3 linked regions of the Xenopus tropicalis genome follow. The protein of the gene in region 1 interacts with the protein of each later gene in a pairwise test. Links are inferred from orthologs where the notes say so. Each region holds a gene or a part of one and is shown in the gene's direction. Other genes may lie near its edges.

Region 1 (4,867 bases):
ATTCCTAATAAGACAGAAAAGTTATTATTTAGAATTGGTAAAAATCATATAAAAAAGCATAATTAGAGGCACTACTATAGAGAAGCATACAATTCCTCTTAGAGCATAGATTTTATGGGTCTTGGGGCATAAATACTATGTATTAGGTCTCTGCAGGATTGCAAATGTGCCATAGGTATGTTCAAAAGTATGTTCCAGCTGAGGACAAGGGCCAGAGGGAAAAGAGGCAGATGGAGAGGAGGTTCCTTCTATATACTGGTCCCAGTCCCTCAGCATTCATTGAGGTTAACCAAGCAATTCTGTTTTCACTTGTTTAACCCATACACAAATGTCATGTTGGGATCCAGGTAAAAGGCAGGTTTATTACAAAAAACGAATAACTGTGTAAAATGATATACAAGTTATATTTTTATGTGGGTATTTGTCTTATGAAAACACAAGTAAAGCAATGCATTCAACTGAATGCAAAACAGTTTGAATAAAATGTTCAGTTTACTTGTGTTTATTGAAGTAATCCCAGTGAAAAATCAGATAACTATATATCTGCTGTCTAATCTCGTTATACATATTCTGCTTCTGCTATATTTCTGCATGTCCCATGCTACGTACAAATCCTTTTCTCTTTTTTTCCCATTTATTCTTTTACAATTTTCTAAGGGACCAGTCTGCTCTACAATTGGTAGTCCAATTGGTAGTCCGGAAAAACGCTTGCTGAAAATACCGCATAAAAACGCAAGACTTTGCATTCTCTCAAGTTTTTATGTGTATTTCGGCTACATGTGCCTGAACCCAAGCATATTCCATTCATTCGGGTGCAGGCACAAGTAGGAGGCGTAGGGCGGTATTTTCAGGATGCATTTTTCTGCTTGCCGAAAATATACGCCCTATGCCTTGTCTGGCATTAGCCTAAGGCTGATGTCAGACGTGGCATATTCTCGGCAAGTCGAAAAACGCTTGCCGAGAATACGCCCTCTGCCTACTACCAGCTACGCTCTGGTGCAGGCACAGGTAGGAGGTGGAGGGCGTATTCTAGGCAAGCGTTTTCCGGCTTGCTGAGAATACACCACATCTGACATCAGCCTAATAATGCAAAAGGTGGCAACACATAGGCCAACCTGCCATTTATCCGATTATGGCCTACACCTGGCCAAATAACCCTGTTGCATTCCTTTGGGCCCACTAACTGATGGGAATTTCTGCTATTAGTATTTTTATGTTGGACAGATGGAGTGCAAATTTTTTGCAGAATAATCAACCTGTGTGTCATAGTCATGCATTATTTTCCAAATTGGCTAATTCTTTCCACTTTAATATAAGTCAATATAAAAAGAAGAAAAGACATGGTGAACACAGTCTTTATAAAAGTTGAGAAATGTTTTTTTACAGAAAACATAAGCAGTGAGAATTTGTGCGTTCCTTGTGAAGACACAAAAATGTAAAACTATAACCAAAAAACAGATTTGAAATCATTGAAATGTATACGTATGTTTGTTAACGCATACTTCTTTTATTCACAACTAGAGGCAGACTGAGTTCCGTGCTGGTGTGTGTTTCCACCCGGGACATATCAGCGTTGCACACTGGGTCTTCTTCCTGGAATCTCTACATTTCGGCTTTATAGACGCTAGCTGTGGGTTGTTGTGACGTTCTTGGCAGCGTCACAAGCAGCGGTCCGCTCATCCTTAGGCGGTGTTCGTTTGGCTCATTGATGGCGGGGAACTTTTGGCAGAGCTCTCACTAGTAAGCGTTGTTTTATTTGTTTTGTCTATAGGTAGTAGGCTGAGCTGTCGCCATCTTTAAAATTCCCTAGCACTTCACTATGAGCGGAAAAGATTCTAACCTGCTGCCTTGCCGTTCTCAGTATACCAGTGTTTTGAGACTTGCAAATTGTGAATTTCTTTGCCTGTAGTGAAGTACAGGCCTTTTTGTATTTGCTGTAGCCCTATAATAACCCTTTTAATAAAGTGCAAGTTGTTGTGTTAGCAATATACAGTCTGAAATGCAGAATAACTCATTGCAAATGAGGTCCAGGTCCAGCATTTGATCAGTTCCATGGCTTTGCTTATAAGCACAAAACAAAGCCCTCCATCTGTTGCACTGTTGCACATCCACTGATAACTATCAGGAGAATGCTGGGAGCTGAAGTTCCACTAAATGCCTGGGGACCTCAGGTAGGTCATTTTTGCCATTAAGACATCAAAATGGTTATTACAAGGTCACTGAAATATTAAAGGAGACATTCGTATTTTACATCAGTAAGTACATTTAAAGGGGTTGGTCACCTTTGAGTTAGCTTTTAATATGATTTAGAGAGTGATATTTGGAGACAGTTTGCAATTGGTCTTCATTTATTGTAGCTTTTTTTAGTTATTTCATTTTCATTTCAGGAGCTCTCCAGTATGGAGTTTCAGCAGCTATTTGGTTGCTAGTTACCTTAGTAACCAGGGAGCTGTTTGGATGAGAGACTGTTAAATGAATAGGAGAGGGCACAAATTGAAAAAAAAAAAAGCTACAAAAACTAACAACTATAAAACTGCCTCACAGAGCATTAGTTTTTGTGTTGCTGGGGTCTGCAAAGAGTTGGAAGAAGAAAGAGTTAGTTAGAATTGGTCATTCCGTAACATACTAAAAGTTAACTTAAAGGTGAACCACCCCTTTAAGAAGGGGTTGGATGACTTTTTACGATCCGAGCCCAGCCCTTAAGGTGGCGATTTGCGATCTTTCATGCAACCATCGGTCGCACACCGTTCAGGGCTGAAACGGCAGATAAGGAGGTAGAAACAATAGGATTTCTACCTCCTTCTGCCGATTCAGCGCTGAAGGCAGATTTTGGTCAGGCGCCTTCTATCGCGCCCGATCAAAATCTTTTAACTTGCCCGGTCGGCGAGTCGACCGATATCGGCAACCTCCTGCGATATCGGTCGACTCGCCGATTTGCCATACACACACCGAATATCGTACGAAACGAGGTTTCGTACGATATTATCGGTGCGTGTATGGCCAGCTTTAGACTTGGCCAATACATGAAACTACGGTTGGCTGAAACATGGAGATTGTGCGCAAAATTGCACTTGGCCCACTTCATCTAGGTAAGTGAATGTGCTCTATGGACTAATAAGAATTTGACAAAATAGCAGTGCAAAAGAATTGAAATGATATATTTTTCTAATTTTTTTTTTTTTTAATTTATTTTAGTTTGCAATGGATTTTGGACAAACAAGACTTATTAAAAGAACGACAAAAAGACCTAAAATTTTTAAGTGAAGAAGAATATTGGAAATTGCAGATATTTTTTACAAATGGTAATCGCATGTTTCTTTTAGAAACCTGGTATTTTATTATAGGTGCAATATTTTTATTGTGCTATGTTACTTCTGAATATAGATTGTTATTGGGATGCAACCCACTCAATAGCCCCCACACTGTTTGTTTCTCTTGCTACATTCGCATGAAACACATACTCATTTACATTAAACATTCATCTTATTTTCTTTCCTTTGCAGTTATCCAAGCTTTAGGAGAACACCTTAAATTACGACAACAAGTCATTGCCACTGCCACTGTTTATTTTAAAAGATTTTATGCCAGGTGAGTTTGCTGAGAGGGAAAGGACTTGTATGTGTTTTTGGTTTTATGGTAATGCCCTATCCAGTGCCAGCAGCACTAAGCAAAATTAGTGGTGTATGAGTGTTAAAATGTCACAATCCAGCTGTGGCTTACCACTACACCGTAGTGTCTTTCTGTGATAGTTAAGCCCAGACTTTCCTCAGGCAGTGCATATTATTTGAGTGTAATCATAGACTGGAAAAGTACAGGCTAATGACTGAACATTTAGTAAACATATACTTCGTCTAGGTAGGTGAATGTGCCCTATTAAAGGTGGCGACACACGTGGCGATCTGACGATGTTTAGTGCGACCATCGGACCACACCGTTGGGGCTGAAACAGCAGATAAGGAGGTAGAAACAATAGGATTTCTACCTCCTTCTGCTGATTCAGCCCTGACGGCAGATTTTGGTCAGGCGCCTTCTATGGCGCCCGATCAAAATCTTTTAACTGGTCCGATCGGCGAGTCGACAGATATCAGCAGCTTCCTGCGATATCTGTCGACTCACCGACATGCCATACACGCACTGAATATCGTACGAAACGAGGTTAAGACTAAGATTTTGACAAAATTTTTCTTATATTTTAGATCACGTTGTTGCTATAAAGCTGTGCTGTATCTTGTATGTATTGTTTTACATTTAATGTTTACAGATCCAACTTTTCAATTTAAATGGAATTGTTACTCTATGGTATGGCCTTTATGCACTTATGTTTTGTTGATATAATTTTTTTGTTTTTCATATTAGGTATTCTTTAAAAAGTATAGATCCTGTATTAATGGCACCAACATGTGTGTTTTTGGCATCCAAAGTAGAGGTAAGACACAAATTACACACACACACACTCATTCACTCTCACTGGGGTTTTCAGAGAACTGAATTCAAATACCTTTTCTGTTCTGCTAGACTACAGAAATGTAATAGTAAAAGACAAAAACTGCTTTCAGTTGTAATTATTTTACAAATAAAATATCCAATTAATTTCTATTGGTTTTTGTTTCTTAAGAAAAACTATTTCTAATACAGGTTCAGGATCTATTATCTGGAATGCTTGGGACCTGGGGTTTTCCAGATAAGGGATCTTTAAATAATTCGAATTGCCATTTTGTCTCAATCAAATGTTGATTGACCGGACCAAAGTTTTTGTTTGGGGCACGACACAATAATAATGATTTCTTATTTAGAAATAGAGTACATTCATAAAAAGTTAATGGATCTGTCATCAGCTCAAACAAACCTGTGTTTGTGTTTCAGGAAT
Region 2 (4,266 bases), on another chromosome or scaffold:
ATCTTTAATTCGGTGGGGTAAACAGTGGGGATTTTAACACGATCCCTTAATTTCAAGGGCTCAAAATTAATTGGACAATTGACCCAAAGGCTATTTCATGGGCAGGTGTTGGCAAGTCCGTTGTTATGTCATTATCAATTAAGCAGATAAAAGGCCTGGAGTTGATTTGAGGTGTGGTGCTTGCATGTGGAAGGAGCTCTGCATGCAGGTGAAAGAAGCCATCCTTAAGCTGTGAAAACAGAAAAAACCCACCAGAGAAATTGCTACAATATTAGGAGTGGCAAAATATACAGTTTGGTACATCCTGAGAAACCGGTGAACGCAAAAAGACCTGGATATCCACGGAAGACAACAGTGGTGGATGATCGTAGAATCATTTCCATGGTGAAGAGAAACCCCTTCAATACAGCCAGCCCAGTGAACAACACTCTCCAGGGGCTAGGCATATGGATATCCAAGTCTACCATAAAGAGAAGACTGCATGAAAGTAAATACAGAGGGTGCACTGCAAGGTGCAAGCCTCTCATAAGCTTCAAGAATAGAAAGGCTAGATTGGACTTTGCTAAAGAACATCTAAGAAAGCCAGCACAGTTCTGGAAAACCATTCCTTGGACAGATGAAACCAAGATCAACCTATACCAGAATGATGGCAAGAAAAAAGTATGGAGAAGGTGTGGAACGGCTCCTTAGCCAAAGCATACCACATCATCTGTAAAACATGGTGGAGGCAGTGTGATGCCTTGGGCGTGCATGGCTGCCAGTGGCATTGGGACATTAGTGTTTATTGATGATGTGACACGGGACAGAAGCAGCCGAATGAATTCTGAGGTGTTCAGAGACATACTGTCTGCTCAAATCCAGCTAAATGCAGTCAAATTGATACAAATGGACAGATGTACAATGACCCAAAACACACAGTCAAAGCAACCCAGGAGTTTATTAAAGCAAAGAAGTGGAAAATTCTTGAATGGCCAAGTCAGTCACCTGATCTTAACCCAATTGAGCATGCATTTCACTTGTTGAAGACTAAACTTCAGAAAGAAAGGCCCACAAACAAACGGCAACTGAAAGCCACTGCAGTAACAGCCTGGCAGAGCATTAAAGGAACAGTAACACCAAAAAATCAAAGTGTATAAAAGGAACTACAGTATAATGTACTGTTGCCCTGCACTGGTGAAACAGGTGTATTTGCTTTAGAAACATTACCATAGTTTAGTAAATGAAGCTGCTGTGTAGCCATGGGGGCAGCCATTTAAAAGAGAAAAGGCACAGGTGACATAGCAGATAACAGATAAAACACCATTGTATTGTACAGAACTTATCTGTTATCTGCTATGTAACCTGTGCCTTTTTTCCTTTTTCCAGCTTGAATGGCTGCCCCCATGGCTACACAGCAGCTTTTTATATAAACTATAGAAGTGTTTCTGAAGCAAATGTGCAAATTTTACCAGTGCAGGGCAACAGTGCATTGTATTATGATTACTTAAAAACATTTTTATTTTTTGGTGTTACTGTTCCTATAATAAACTCACATTTTTATGCAACCGTTTTGTTCACCCCACTGAATTAAAGCTGAAAGTCTGCACTTCAACTGCATTTCAATTGTTTCATTTACAATTCATTGTGGTAATGTACAGAACCAAAATTAGAAAAAATTTGTCTCTGTCCAAATATTTATGGACCTAACTGTATATGGGCAATTATGGCAAGGTTACAGATAAAAACATACAATTTTATCAGCTAATCAGTTATAGTTAAAGAAAACCAAGTTTACTAAATAAGTATTTGCTCCAAACCCTTACCCTATCTGACCTTCTACTTGGACTTTCAGAAATCATTTTCCCCTGAATTCTACCTTATCTGGTCTTATGGCAGAACAGCTAGTTGTGCAGATACAACTGTTGTTGCACAGCTACCAAACACCCAGTCAAACAAGTTGCAGTGATATGAAGCTTGTCTGTGAGCTTTCCTACCACAAGCCCCCCTTTTGTCGACCTTTTTTTATTCTTTTGGCCGTAGCCTAACAGTATACTGGTAACTTAGCACTAACATGAAATAATAAAATCACAGTAAATATAAAATTGCACATTTAAGGGCACCAGTGTTACAACAGTTCTACAGACTGAGAAGTGCTTAATAAACTGTTACATGTTATATCTATATATAGATATAGTTATATGTAGTGGCCTAACTAAGTACAAAACAAAGCCAAAAGAAGTGGTTTACACTGATCTGGTGAAATGTATAATAAAAAAAAATGTACATATCCTCAATCTCATGGGGACTTTTGCCCTTGGTTTTGGGAAAAGCCCCTTTAATTACCTGGTGGATAACCTAACCATGTGCCTTCTGGGTGTCCTAAATGATGTAATCCCTTCTAAATATGCAAGGTTAAGATTTTGCATTTTACTATTGTATCGAAAGAAAACAGTTGCTATGCATTGGATGGGTAACTCCCCTTCTTCCCCCAGAGCCTGCATACAACTGGTTAATAATGCAACCCCACTCTTTAAACTCACATACAAAATCAGAGGATCACCTGCCAAATTTGACATTGTATGGTGTGATATAGACTCTGTTGAGACCTAAATTAGGGAAACCTCTCCACACCTATACAGGAGGCTGCCATAAAACTGTATGGCCCCCCTCCAGGAGCAATGCCTGCCCTAGACCCTAATCTAGGATGACTGTTCTCTTGGTGTGTCCAACCAAGGGAACCTCCCCCCATGGCTTTCACTGTTACACCTTGTGTCAACTTGTACCCAATTCTCATATTCTGCGAAAACCTTTGTTTGTTTTCTTTGTTTTGGTTTTATCTTGTTTAAAATAATTAAAAAATTACCTTTAAAAAAAAGTGTAAATTATAACTTAAAAAAGGTCACTCAGAGAGAACAAGCAGATAATCAATGAAATAAAGCACCAAGGGTGGCGGAACAGGTCTCACTATGCCACAAATTAATATTACTACCTATACTATATAGTGATCTATGTAGTACCTTTAAACTGAACAGCGTACTAAACTTCTCTTGATTTTTTTTTTAAATTTTTTTATAAATAGAAACTGATTTGGGGAAAAAAGCGCTAACATGATGACATTACTGGTGAATGCTGGGTAGTTTTGTTCCAACTTGACGTTGTCTTTATTTAAAAAGTCTGTTGAAGATAGGGGTACATGGGTTATGGTGTCATGGTTTAAGTTCTCTAGTCATCTCTGTTACCCATAAATTAGTGATTTGTTACTCACGGCTTTTAACTTTTGCAGAATGAAATTGAGCAAAAACGTAGAATGCTCACCTCTGAATTTGAAATCCTGCGTCAGATTTTAGAAGATCATGAAAGAGAATTCAAAGAGCGTTTGGAGAACATGGAGAGACTGATCATTAAAAGAACAAATGAAAGGACCAGTAAGCTGAATGAAAAACTGTCATCTCTGCACGCACTCATCTTAGATATCGAGCAAAATATTCTCCCCTCGGCTCAAACATATCAGGTTAGACTTTATGATCACTGTGTCATCCATTTAATTTACATCCTATGCCAATATTCCTTTTTAACTTATATTTGTTTTTTACATATTGTTCTCTGTCTGACTTCTAAAGGAACCGAAATCTGCGGTGGGCAGGTAAATATTTGTTTTTAACTGCTTTGTAAGTCAATTGTTTTAGTTGTGTGTGAGCATTTTAGTGTTTGATAAGTAGACAAAGGTGCATTTAAGTTGCTTTCTAAATATAAATATACAATATCATAATGAATGTTTTGCCAGAAACCAAACCCATTAGCATTTACCCATTTTCTTTAACAAGATGACAAGTCCTTGCTAATGGAAAGCAGCTTAACAGCCTCTGTCTGGTACTGGAGAGGGAATTGTGGGGACTATGTGATTTACCCCCTGAGTATGTTTGTACAGAGTATTTGTATTCCAGCCTGAAAGGACTAAAACTGACATCTTAAAGGAACAGTAACATCAAAAAATTAAAGTGTTTTAAAGTAATTAAAATATAATGTGCTGTTGCTCTGCAAAAAACTGATGTTTTTGCTACAGAAAAGCTACTAAATAAATAAGCTGCTGGGTAGCCATGGGGACAGCCATTCAAGCTGGAAAAAAAGGAGAAAAGGCACAGGTTACATAGCAGATAACTAGTAGATAAGCCCCATATAATGGAGGTTTATCTGTTATCTGCTAAGCAACCTGTGCCTTTTCGCCTTTGAATGGCTGCCCCCATGGCTACACAGCAGCATATTTATATAAACTATAGTAGTCTTTCT
Region 3 (4,266 bases), on another chromosome or scaffold:
CAGTGCAAGAATATCCTCTAGTGGCCAAGAAGAAAAACCACCATTAAATATATAATCCTGCACAAATGCTCAGGTTAAAAGAAAAATGTATTTATCACAATCCATTAAAAGCTACTTGCACCCCATATATAAAGCTTTTTAATGGTTTTTAAACAATGGGCCTGATTTAATTCAGTGAGAAAAAATTGTCTCGTGGTTTATCATGTGAAAACTTAGACTATTCTATTTGAGGAGAAAAAAACGTTTTACCTTATTCAGTTCGTTTTTTTTCTCATAGACTTCAATAGAGTTGTCACGTGATAAACCATGAGATAAGTTTTTCTAAATTGAGTTGCATCCCAAATTGAATCTCATCCATACGTTTTCACATGATAAACCTTTTATTTGCTGATTCAATCTGGCCCAGTGTTGCAACGGTCAGTCTCCTCCATCAAGAAGGGTCGGTTAGTCTGCTGGCTTGTGTTACATTGCTTTAAAAGCCAGAGCCACCAGGGCAGAGAATAGAAAAGGACAGACAAACACTGCTTTTAATAGCAATTATATGTACAAATAACTTAAATACCATTGCGAAGTTGTAATGAATGTATATTGCAGTTATACAGTTATTGCAGTTGCTTAGAATTCTTATGTTTTCTCTTTTTAGGCAATTTTTTGGTTGACATGCTTTACCAAAATATTTGGGAATATAAATATGCATTTGCTCGTTGGTATAATTTGTACATATGCTATTATATATTCTATTTTATTTAGCACAGAGATACACCTGAAAACAATCCGGACACCCCATTTGAATTCACTTCAGAAAATTACAAGGTACAGTCTAAGCTCTATAACTTATCCTGGCAAAAAGACGGGCATTCACAATACTTTAATATAATTTAGTCCTTACCAATTGTTATGATTATTTTTCTATATGCAGGGTCACAAAATCAATGATTTAACCCTGTTTTGTTAGATTAAAGGGAATTCCAGCTTGGCCAGTGATCCTTAATGTTGCATGTGAGGGATTCTTAGCTAGGATGGCAGTGCAAACCCCACACACACAAATTTATCAGTGAACAGCCTCTTTGAAACCTTTTAATACATGCCACTCTGGTTGTCCAGAGGTTAATAGTAAGGCTGCAACATCTCCTTAATCACTTAAGATTTCCTTCTCTTCCTGTAACTCCATAGAAACTCAGCTCTAGCTGCCTGCTTCAATTTTTTTTCTCCTGAGCTTAGCTTTACCATAACACTGCTCAAACAAAGCAGAACTTTAATCAGAGACAGTTGTGCCTGTGTGAGCCTGTATTCTTGATTAAATGTATGCTGAATAAGGGTCTGTGTGTGTGTATATGCTGTTTGCAGATTTAAATGTATCTGATTATGTATCAGAGGAAAAATGGCCACCGGGTGAAAGCTGCTATTTGTTTTAGGAAAATGTGATGGTGCTGGCAAGCGGAGGGGATATATGCAGTACAAATGATGCCACTTGGGTGGGGGAGACGTGCCCAACTAATATACATTGTATGCAAATGTAGGCTTTACATGTCCATGGAGTTTATTGATAGACTGTGTGTTCACAGGCCCTGAGCCTTCAGCTAGAGGAGCAGAGTTAAGGTGGCCATACACGGGTCGATTGTAACTGCCGATATCTGTCCCTTGGACCAATTGGGCAGCTTATCAGCCCGTGTAGGGGCAGAAATGAGGGGCATGCCTGACCGATATCTGGGCTGAAATTGGCCAGATATCGATCGGGCAGGTTAAAAGATTTAGTCGGATCAGGGACCACATCGGCTCATTGATGCGGTCCCCAAACCGACTGCACCCATTGCTCCCATTATAATTCAATCGTTTGACCCCAGGGCCAAACGATCGAATTAGCCTACATTCTCCCGATATCGCCCACCCATAGGTGGGGATATCGGGAGAAGATCGGCTCGTTTGGACCTCGACAAGCAAGCGCATCTTAAGTATGGCACCCTTTAACTGTATGCAGTCTGTCATGGCAGCAAGTAAAATCAAAAAGAGGTTTAGCCTATGACTAAGGGGCTGATTTACTAATCTACGAATCCGAATCCCGAATGGGAAAAAATCGGATTGGAAACGAACATTTTGCGACTTTTTCGTATTTTTGCGATTTTTTTCGTCACCGTCGCGACTTTTTCGTAGCCATTACAACTTTTGTGAATTGTCGCGACTTTTTCATAGCCATTACGACTTTCGTGAATTGTCGCGACTTTTTCATAGCCATTACGACTTTCGCGAATTGTCGCGACTTTTTCGTATTGAAAAAGTTATGACGGTGACGAAAAAGTTGCAAAATACCGATCATTACAAAAAAAATGCATTCGGACGCTTTTCGGACGTTCGTGGATTAGTAAATGTGCCCCTAAGTGTTGAGATCATGAAACGTGTAAGGCAGTCCCTGTTGCTGGTACCAATAACCTATTTTAATTTTACTTCCTGCCTTCATGGGCTGTTTATTGAGTGCCTGCCTATCTGCATACAGTTGACCCTATTAGTGACCTCAGAGCATCCAACTAAAATGCATTTGCATTTTTATGTCTTTGTATTCATATATTTATATACTTATTTTTAAGAGAATTGAGGCTATAATTGGCAACTATCCTGAAGGTCACAAAGCAGGAGCTGTAATCCCTGTTCTTGACTTGGCACAGAGACAGCATGGATGGCTACCTATATCTGCTATGAATAAGGTAAGCTGATGAGGAAAAAATTAAATAGATCTGAAATAAAGTTCAGCTTACTAAAGGTTAAACTTTACTAAAAGGTTGTCTTTGCACTCATACAGCAAAACAGAAATAAATAGGACAAATACAAGTATAACTAATTTTGTTTTTCCAGTATATTTTATTTAAAACTAGAGATACCAAACTTTTGATGGTGCTGCTGATGTAGACTTGTGTTAGTGATTTAGTATGCTGGGATTTGCTAGATGTTTAATAGTCTTTGTTTTACACATCATTATTTATATACAAGGATATTGTAACAAACAGAAATGTCAGTTTTACAGAATGGAACAGTAGGAACTCTTATGTATTGACACTAGATTGGTCATTCAATAATTACCCAAATTTGACACATCAGTTGCAATACAAATCCAATATACAATATTTTTGAGCTATAGTGCATTACACATTCTGATCGCTTGTCTCACAAGAAAATGTAACGGGTATCCACAACACTGGATTTCTGGTTTTTCATCCAATTGATGGCAATGGCAAACAACATAAGTAGCTGTGTAATATTTATAAACCCTGAAAATGCACTAATGAACGTTTTAGAGTGATTAGCATGAATAGAGCACTGTAAATAAGTAAATACTTGTGCTGTATTATTTTACTTTCTTAGGTTGCTGAAGTTTTAGAGATGCCTGCCATGCGTGTGTATGAGGTGGCTACATTCTACACTATGTTCAACAGAAAACCAGTGGGGAAATATCACGTCCAGATTTGTACGACAACACCTTGCATGCTTTGCAACTCTGATTCAATATTGGAAGCTATTGAAAAGAAGCTAGGTATGATTCTTAGACCATTTTCTCTCCCATACTTTTTTTGCAAAGTAATATTCTGGATAAATCACACAAAGGCGTGTTTGGCTAGAAATGGAATTGCATTGCTAGTTTAAAGGGGTACTAAACCCTCCCCAAACCTCAGCCCACCCTCCAAGCTTCATTCCCACATTTTCCCTATGTGTGAACCTGCCATAATGCGATGGTGCGAGCGGGTGGTGGCGGTGGTGTTTGATCGACACGGGGGGTGGGGGGTGGTTTGCGAGCGGAGGAATGCTGGAATCCAAGATGGCGGCTGTGACAGGCTGCAAATACACCAAAATTAAAAACCAATTTTTGTGAGCTCTACACTATATTAAGGGCTACTATAGTAGCCTTTCCTTGCTCTTTAAGTAGAAGAAGATAGAACTTATGAACTCTGCTGCACAATTCCGCAAATTTATGCTAGATTCACTCATAGTCACATGTAATAGACGTCGTGAAGTAGGAGCTTGGGGCGATAGGTGGAGGGGTGCTGAGGTTTGAAAGGAATTAAATCCTTCTCCTGCCCTTTTACAACATCACTTCCACAATTATAATTTGTGTTAGGTGTGTGTGTGTTTTTTTTTTTTTTGTATTTTATTTTAAGTAATAAAAATGTTACTAATAATGTTATAGAATAAAATGTTAGGAGCCATATATGGGAGCAGGGAGTTAAATTGTGTATCACTAACCTTGAAGTTTGATTTATAGAAAACCCCATTACAAAG

Evidence for each region. The genes of interacting proteins can lie anywhere in the genome.
Region 2: the proteins of ccnc (region 1) and E3 ubiquitin-protein ligase TRIM39 interact in binary tests that used the Homo sapiens proteins (3 or more experiments, as listed by UniProt). The two-hybrid records come from large-scale screens. The link is inferred for Xenopus tropicalis from reciprocal best matches to the Homo sapiens genes CCNC and TRIM39.
Region 3: the proteins of ccnc (region 1) and ndufv2 interact in binary tests that used the Homo sapiens proteins (3 or more experiments, as listed by UniProt). The link is inferred for Xenopus tropicalis from reciprocal best matches to the Homo sapiens genes CCNC and NDUFV2.

What each region holds. Positions count from the first base shown.
Region 1 is NC_030681.2:82,030,135-82,035,001, forward strand, and holds the start of ccnc (cyclin-C), read left to right. Parts: upstream 1-1,573; 5' UTR 1,574-1,708; coding exon 1,709-1,740; intron 1,741-3,195; coding exon 3,196-3,302; intron 3,303-3,503; coding exon 3,504-3,588; intron 3,589-4,356; coding exon 4,357-4,426; intron 4,427-4,863; coding exon 4,864-4,867. UniProt on the Homo sapiens protein: Component of the Mediator complex, a coactivator involved in regulated gene transcription of nearly all RNA polymerase II-dependent genes.
Region 2 is NC_030678.2:143,279,364-143,283,629, forward strand, and holds part of E3 ubiquitin-protein ligase TRIM39, read left to right. Parts: intron 1-3,262; coding exon 3,263-3,490; intron 3,491-3,599; coding exon 3,600-3,622; intron 3,623-4,266.
Region 3 is NC_030682.2:104,466,788-104,471,053, forward strand, and holds part of ndufv2 (NADH dehydrogenase [ubiquinone] flavoprotein 2, mitochondrial), read left to right. Parts: intron 1-750; coding exon 751-813; intron 814-2,582; coding exon 2,583-2,699; intron 2,700-3,354; coding exon 3,355-3,523; intron 3,524-4,266.